Linked DNA regions of Macaca mulatta. The protein of the gene in region 2 interacts with the protein of the main gene of each other region in a pairwise test. Links are inferred from orthologs where the notes say so. Each region holds a gene or a part of one and is shown on either strand. Other genes may lie near its edges.

Evidence for each region.
Region 1: the proteins of TNPO2 (region 2) and CAMK2D interact in binary tests that used the Homo sapiens proteins (3 or more experiments, as listed by UniProt). The two-hybrid records come from large-scale screens. The link is inferred for Macaca mulatta from reciprocal best matches to the Homo sapiens genes TNPO2 and CAMK2D.

What each region holds. Positions count from the first base shown.
Region 1 is NC_133410.1:123,024,720-123,029,016, forward strand, and holds the start of CAMK2D (calcium/calmodulin-dependent protein kinase type II subunit delta), read right to left. Parts: upstream 2,810-4,297; 5' UTR 2,110-2,809; coding exon 2,045-2,109; intron 450-2,044; coding exon 355-449; intron 1-354. UniProt on the Homo sapiens protein: Calcium/calmodulin-dependent protein kinase involved in the regulation of Ca(2+) homeostatis and excitation-contraction coupling (ECC) in heart by targeting ion channels, transporters and accessory proteins involved in Ca(2+) influx into the myocyte, Ca(2+) release from the sarcoplasmic reticulum (SR), SR Ca(2+) uptake and Na(+) and K(+) channel transport.
Region 2 is NC_133424.1:13,255,612-13,259,256, reverse strand, and holds part of TNPO2 (transportin-2), read left to right. Parts: coding exon 1-96; intron 97-190; coding exon 191-349; intron 350-2,671; coding exon 2,672-2,759; exon of another isoform or gene 2,760-2,874; intron 2,875-2,885; exon of another isoform or gene 2,886-2,942; coding exon 2,943-3,041; exon of another isoform or gene 3,042-3,084; intron 3,085-3,506; exon of another isoform or gene 3,507-3,567; coding exon 3,568-3,645. UniProt on the Homo sapiens protein: Probably functions in nuclear protein import as nuclear transport receptor. Serves as receptor for nuclear localization signals (NLS) in cargo substrates.

The sequences.
Region 1 (4,297 bases), on a different chromosome or scaffold from region 2:
GACAGTTGTGAGACTTATATTTTTCCATTCCATCGTCTTTCTAAAAGTTATTTTATACTTAAACTATAAGCAAAATGCACCTGACATTTATTTGCTTTAAAATATAGTTATTCATGCTATTGCCTGTAGGACAGATAGAATTTTAATAGCAATTATCGAATAATAATTATATCTTTCCATTTATTTTTAAACTGTACAGACCAAGAAGCATTCAGGAAGAAAATAATCTCAGTATGTAATATGATACCTAAGTCTAAAATTCAGTTATAACTACATGATATTTACATACAACAGAACCTATAATCAACATGACACATACAAAATTAACCAATATATGTGGTTGAAAATACCCACCCCTAGCAGAAAGCTTTTTGGTGTTGATAATTTTGGCAGCATATTCTTGTCCAGTAGGAATTTTCATACATCTTCTCACCACTGAGAATGCCCCCCTGGAAACCAATAATTAGCAGGTCATTAATATAACAGATATAACATTCCATTAAAAAATTTATAAAATCTGAGCATTTTTATTGATTTTAGTGGATTGCCAGTGAAGTACAGTAATATCCAGTAAATGAACAATTCTTCCTGGAAACCTAGACTTTCTTTAATGTTGAAGAATAAAAGTAAATTTTATTTAACTGGGAGCACACATTATTAATCAACAAAATGAAAGGAACTGCCAATTATGACCGCTCTTGTTTGCACAAGAAATTTGAAAACATTTTACAGTTCACACTCACAGCACCAAATGCTCTGAGAAAAACCCTGCACAGAAGAGAGCAGAGGAAGAGCAGCAAAAAAATCTGCCGCCTACTTACTTTGGTAGGAAACAAAAAATTAATGTGGTTCCAAGTAAGTAAACACGGCGATTATTTTCATTAAAATATCAATCTTGAGCACATTAGTGTGGTTTAACAAATCCTGGTATGGTGATTTCTCTGTGTCTTGTTTTGGGCTGGGGGAGGGGAGAGATTTGAATTAAGCTGCTCTTCCGACATATTCTCCATGTTTTAACACCAGACAATATATACATATATAATTTTTATTACCTTCAAAAATATTTACCTTTCCTTTAATTACAGTATAAACCAACAACATACATATAAACGCACCCCTTTCATAAAAGTAACAGTCGAAACTAGTGAAAGAGGAATTGGGTTTGGGTTCAATGCTACTAAAATCAGCATTCACGGCTCGGCCCCTAGGTCCCTTTACACAAGTCCTCAGTAGATCTCCTGCCTCCTTCCCTAGCATCTCCAAATAGTTCTGCCAGTTAGGTAGAGGAGGTGGTTTTACACAATGCTAGGCTACTCTTAAGAGCGCGCTCAGTCTCCAGAGGGCTTTTCCGCTGCCTGTATAAATAAATCCTCCCAGAGAACGCAAAGATGCACACGTAAATCCTAGGAAGAATGATGGTGAGCGGTAATCTGGTGCAAAGAATAACAGTGGATATAGGGCAAGGGGTTGGGTTCTGTTGGGTGGCCCTTTTCCTGGACAGAACAACTACTGGATGCGAAATAGTCTCCATGCCAAGTTGAACTTTCGGCATCAATAAATATGGCACCGTCTGAGGCTGTGAGTTCTCCTCAGTACATGGGTCATACGGCCGACACGCCGGCTAACCAGGAGGCATCTCTATTTACAGAAAACATGATCTATGTTGCATTTTACATGGGTTCTAATTTCCTCTCCAAACACACATTACACACAGGCGCGCGCGCACACTTCTCAGGATGACAGCTACAACTGCAGAGATCGTAAATTCACTAAGTCTCTCAGTGCAGAAGGGTGGGGGACCGGGAGAAGGTGGGCTAGGGACTATCGAAATGAGCCACAGCCGGGGCAAGGGTCCTACGCCTTCTGTGTTCCCTCCCCTTACTAAGACAGCACCTTCCCCAGAGCTGACAAACCAGGGGCCCTCCTCCCACTCCTCTCGTCTCCCAAACTCCCTCGCCCCAAGACGGAGGCCGGTGGGTCTGGGGCAACGCGACCCGCCCTCAGCTGGAAAGGGGACATGAGGATGCCGGGCAAAGGCGCTTACTTTCCAAGCTCCTCGAAAAGCTGATACTCGTCCGTGAACCTGGTGCAGGTTGTGGTCGAAGCCATCCTTGGTCCGGGCTGTGCCCTGGCTGGGAGCGCGACGGACGAGAAGCGAGCAGACGCGCGGCTAACCCCGGGATTGGCCCCGCGGCGCTGTCACCCAGGGCCGCCCTTACTTTCCTGGTCCGAAAGTAGCTCGCCCGCGAGGGAGTGTGCGCAGGGGCGGGGCGGGAGGGGAGATGACCAGAAACGGTGGCGTGGGGTCTCCTCCCCACGGTCCGCCGATCCTCCTCCTCCTGCGGGCCTCGCTTCCTTCTTCTCCACTGGACGCTCCACCCGCCCCTTTTCCAGTCCCTGTCCCCAAATACAGGGGGTAAAGTATTCAAGAAGAGGGGGCCGGGAAACGGAAAAACAGCCGGGCACGGGGCGAGTGGCAAGCAGTTGCGAAACGATCCGCACTGGAGGCAGGAGGGGTAGAAGCAGAGGGGAGGGAGTCCGAGGGGGCGGAGGTGGAGTGCAGCGGGGCCGAGGCCGCGGAGCCCGGAGCGGACAGCCAGAGCCCAGCGGCAGCTGTCAGCAGGCTCAGGCGCGGAGCGCGCCCGGGGCTCGGGCGAGCGTGCGCGCCCGGGACCGGCTTCCCTCCAGCGGGCAGCAGCGGATCCGGCGAAGCGAGGCACCTTGACTGCCTCGCGCTGCTCACGAGCCCGCGCGGCTTCAAGACGGCGCAGCGAGAGAAAGAGCGCTCGGCTCGGACGAAGCCTCGTCTGCCGTCCCCAGGCCTCCGTCTCCTCCCCTGGCGCCTCCTCCCGCCGCTCCCTCCGCCAGCCAGCACCCCCTCCCTGGCGAAGCCCCCTCCTCGCTGGTCCCACACCTCCCTCTAGCGACTCCAAGTGTGTCCCTTCGTGGATCTCTCGCTATCCCTCCTTCGGTCGCACACACGAGCACACCCGTCTAGGAGAAACCAGGTGGGTGGAGGAGGATTTGCGGGGGAGAAGCCTGGAGGTTTGGGTGAATGAGGCGAGACGTCAGTTACCCATTTAAACCCGCACAGAGAAGCCTGCCTCAATCTGGGGCTGACTGAGCGGGAAGATGCAGGGCAACTCGAGGATGGCCCGGGGCTGCCGCCCTTGGTCGCGGTAGCCCACGCCCCTGTTTTGGGCGCTGGGCAGCAGTGACTTCTCCAGGCCGGCTGCCGGCCCACGACACCCGCTGTGGCCGAGCAAGGCAGAGCAACCACTTCATCTCCACGCCACTCAAAGTTGACACAGCAGGGGCCGGATGTGGGCTGTTCATTGCTCTCAGAGAAGGTCCCAACCCTTCCCACAGCCACCAGCGACTGTTGGGGCAAAACCCAACCTCAGCGGGGTTCACTGCGTCGCCAGCTCCCCAGAACCCGGCGCAGGCTGTCTCCCTCCCCCGCAGCCCCTTCTGCAAGGGGCAATGACGACCCCTGAGCCACATTTCACTTGCCACCTCCAGGCCCACCTCCCCCGCTGTTTTCCAGGATGGTGGCTGAGGCTCTGGCAATTCCCAAAGGCCTTTGCTTTGGCTATGAACGTTAAAAGAATGAAGGCAAAAACTCCACCACTCAACCACACCTTCCCTTCCCTTCTGAGTAACTCCCCTGTAACCTCAGTAAGTTCTGATAGTAAGGCGAGTTCTCGCGATATTTCCCACTCTGGCGGCCGGGGCGAGGTAGTAGGAAGGTTGGGTGTCGGTCACGCGACCCGGTGGGGGCTGACGTCATTCACATCACGTAAACGCGTCTAGCCTGTTTCGCTTTGCAAAGGGAAAAAGGAAAAGGGGAGGTCGTGTGTACTTTGCTTTCAGCCAGATAGTGGGACTTGAGTGCACTCCGTAAATGGCTATCTGAAAAACCACTTAGTGGTTCAAGAATGTGTCCTTCCCTTTAGCATATCTGCCATTGTTTTCAGTAGGAGGAAAAAAAAGTATGCATTACAATTTAAAATAGATAAATTGCTGCCGATTGCTAGAACAACTTCTGGGCCCTCTTTCCCGTTCTCTTTAATAAAACTATGCAATTGCAAATTTGACGCAGACCGAAAACAGCGTTATGGACGAGTTTTTTCAAATTACTGCCTTTTGTTCTACAGCACGGGACTATAAAAACCTTGCAATCCTATTGCTAATTTGTTCGTAGTATTACTTCAGAGACTTAAAATTTCACAGCTGAAAGATAAAACATAACTTGCAAACACAAGAGAATCTAAGATTTAAAGGCGCTGCTGCTTGC
Region 2 (3,645 bases):
GTGGCCACCGCCCTGCAGAGTGGCTTCCTGCCTTACTGTGAGCCCGTTTACCAGCGCTGCGTCACCCTGGTGCAGAAGACGCTGGCTCAGGCCATGGTGAGCACCCCCACGCCCATCACCTATGCTTCTGCATTGGCCTGCCTCGGGCCTGCTCTCCACTCACCCTTGCCCCGTCCCCATCTGTGTCTAGATGTACACCCAGCACCCCGAGCAGTATGAGGCTCCCGACAAGGACTTCATGATCGTAGCGCTGGATCTGCTCAGCGGCCTGGCTGAGGGCCTGGGTGGTCACGTGGAGCAGCTGGTGGCCCGCAGCAACATCATGACACTGCTGTTCCAGTGCATGCAGGTGGGTGGGGACCTGGACAGTGATGACACCCAGCAGCCTGCGTGGGCTGCCCCTGGCGGGGACTCAGGGCCTGGTTGTGCGCAAAGAAAATCAGGGAAAAGGGGCTGTTCTAATTATTTTAAACAGTGATCCGGGAGGCTGAAGCAGGAGGATGGCTTGAGCCCAGGTGTTTGAGACCAGCCTGGGCAACATAATGAGACCCCAGTTCTAAAATTTAAAATTTTTTTTTTTTTTTTTTGAGACGGAGTCTTGCTCTGTTGCCCAGGCTGGAGTGCAGTGGCCGGATCTCAGCTCACTGCAAGCTCCGCCTCCCAGGTTCACGCCATTCTCCTGCCTCAGCCTCCCGAGTTGCTGGGACTACAGGCGCCCGCCACCTCGCCCAGCTAGTTTTTTGTATTTTTTAGTAGAGACGGGGTTTCATTGTGTTAGCCAGGATGGTCTCGATCTCCTGACCTCGTGATCCGCCCGCCTCGGCCTCACAAAGTGCTGGGATTATAGGCTTGAGCCACCGCGCCCAGCCCAAAAAACTTTTTTTAAAAAAGCAAACGGTATTGAAAATAGAAAATATGAGGCCAAGCGCTCATGCCTGTAATCCAGCACTTTGGGAGACCGTGGCAGGTGAATCACTTGAGGTCAGGATTTTGAGACTAGCCTGGCCAACATGGTGAAATCCTGTCTCTACTAAACATATAAAAATTAGCCAGGCATAGTGGCAGGTGCCTCTAATCCCAGCTACTTGGGAGGCTGAGGCAGGAGAATTGCTTGAACCCAGGAAGCAGAGGTTGCAGTGAGCTGAGATCATGCCACTGTATTCAAGACTGGACAATAGAGTGAGCCTCCGTCTCTTTCAAAAAAAAAAAAAAAAGAAAACATGAAAGCCCAAGTCCCTGCCCCAGCACAGTTGGCTCTCCATATCTGTGGGTTCTACATCCCAAGATTCAAGCAACCTCAGACTGAAAATACTCAGAGGGGGCCGGGCGCGGTGGCTCACGCCTGTAATCCCAGCACTTCGGGAGGCCAAGGTGGGCGGATCACAAGGTCAGGAGATCGAGACCATGGTGAAACCCCGTCTCTACTAAAAATAGAAAAAATTAGCCGGGCGCAGTGGCGGGCGCCTGTAGTCCCAGCTACTCGGGAGGCTGAGGCAGGAGAATGGTGTGAACCCGGGAGGCGGAGCTTGCAGTGAGCCGAGATTGTGCCACTGCACTCCAGCCTGGGCGACAGAGCGAGACTCCGTCTCAAAAAAAAAATAAAAATAAAAAAGAAAATACTCAGAGGGGCCGGGCGCGGTTGCTCAAGCCTGTAATCCCAGCACTTTGGGAGGCCGAGACGGGTGGATCACGAGGTCAGGAGATCGAGGCCATCCTAGTGAACATGGTGAAACCCCGTCTCTACTAAAAAAAATACAAAAAACTAGCCAGGCGAGGTGGTGGGCGCCTGTAGTCCCAGCTGCTCAGGAGGCTGAGGCAGGAGAATGGCGTAAACCCGGGAGGCAGAGCTTGCAGTGAGCTGAGATCGGGCCACTGCACTCCAGCCTGGGCGACAGAGCGAGACTCCGTCTCAAAAAAAAAAAAAAAAAAAAAGAAAATATTCAGAGGAAAAATTACATCTGTACTGAACACATACAGACGTTTGTTCTTGTTATTATTCCCTAAACAATACAGTATAACAACTATTCCCATACTGTTGACATTGTATTAGATATAAGTGACTTAGAGATGATACTAAGTGTACAGGAGAATGTGCATAGGTGCATATGCAAACAGTATGCCCCCCGCCCGTCCCCCACCTTTTTTTTGAGACAGAGTTTCACTCTGTCACCCAGGCCCGGGTTCAAGCAGTTCTCCTGCCTCAGCCTCTCAAGAAACTGGGACTACAGGCATGTCCCACCATGCCTGGCTAACTTTCTTGTATTTTTAGTAAAGACAGGGTTTTGCCATGTTGGCCAGGCTGGTCTCAAACTCCTGACCTCAAGTGATCTGCCTTCCTTGGCCTCCCAAAGCGCTGGAGATTATAGGCATGAGCCACTGCGCCCGGCCCTAACACTATGCCACTTTATATCAAGGACTTGCACATTCGTGGATTTTGATAGCTGCAGGGACCTGGGAAAGAATCCCCCATGGACACTGAGGGATGACCGTTGGGGCACTGCCATCTCCCATTTGCAGATGTGGACTGGAGGCTAGGGAGGTTAAGGAAAACCTAGGAGCCCTAGAACTGGAAAATGGCAGAGGCTGGACATGCACCAGGGACTGTGCCCCCTCAGCTGTCGTGGTTAGGAGGAGGGGAGCCCAACCACACTGATATTTCTTGAATCCCCAGGATTCGATGCCTGAGGTCCGGCAGAGCTCCTTTGCCCTCCTGGGAGACCTCACCAAAGCCTGCTTCATCCATGTCAAGCCTTGTATTGGTACGACACTCACCTTGTCCCTAACCCATGACCCCAGCCCCGGCCTCAAGTGATGGAGAGCAATACCCAGGGATGACTGTGACATTGGGATGTATTCGTACTGTCTGATGGGGCCTGCTGGGCTAGGTCTGCAGCTTACCCCAGCTGGCCCTCCTGCTCAGCACTCCTGTTTCTCCCCACCAGCCGAGTTCATGCCCATTCTGGGCACCAACCTGAACCCAGAGTTCATCTCGGTCTGCAACAACGCCACCTGGGCCATTGGTGAAATCTGCATGCAGATGGGTGAGTGCCCTGCAAGTGGCAACAGGCCCCTCCCCATTAGCCTGTTCTCAACCTGGGGGCGGGAGCCTAGCTCTGACTGACACGGGAAGTCTCTGGGGGCTCGTCATGGGTGGAGCCAAGCAGAAAGGTCATTTGTGATTGGCTTCACCAAAGAGAAGGGATAGGAGGGCTGTTCTGATTGGACCGTTTTGTGTAGTTGGCTAAAAGACTCACTCGGATTAATTGGGTGACTTTGGCCCTCACTCGAATTGATTGGGTGACTTTGGCTTCTTTTCCTTTGACTTGGGCAGCGTATTCTCACCTTAGCGACTCCAGAGAAGTCTCTGATGTTTGAAGGGTGTGGATCTGTTCCTGGTTGACCAGGGATTCTGGGTGGGGATTAGCCGGAGAAGGTCTTTTGTTCCCTCACTGGTAGTGGTTGGCCAGTCTCTGGTTAGAACTGGGGTCAGTGAGTGACGGGGGCAGCCCCGAGCCCCCCCTGTGGGTGAAGGGGGCTGTGCAGGGCTCTGATTGGGTGCTCCCCCAGGGGCAGAGATGCAGCCTTATGTGCAGATGGTCCTCAACAACCTGGTGGAGATCATTAACCGACCCAACACACCCAAGA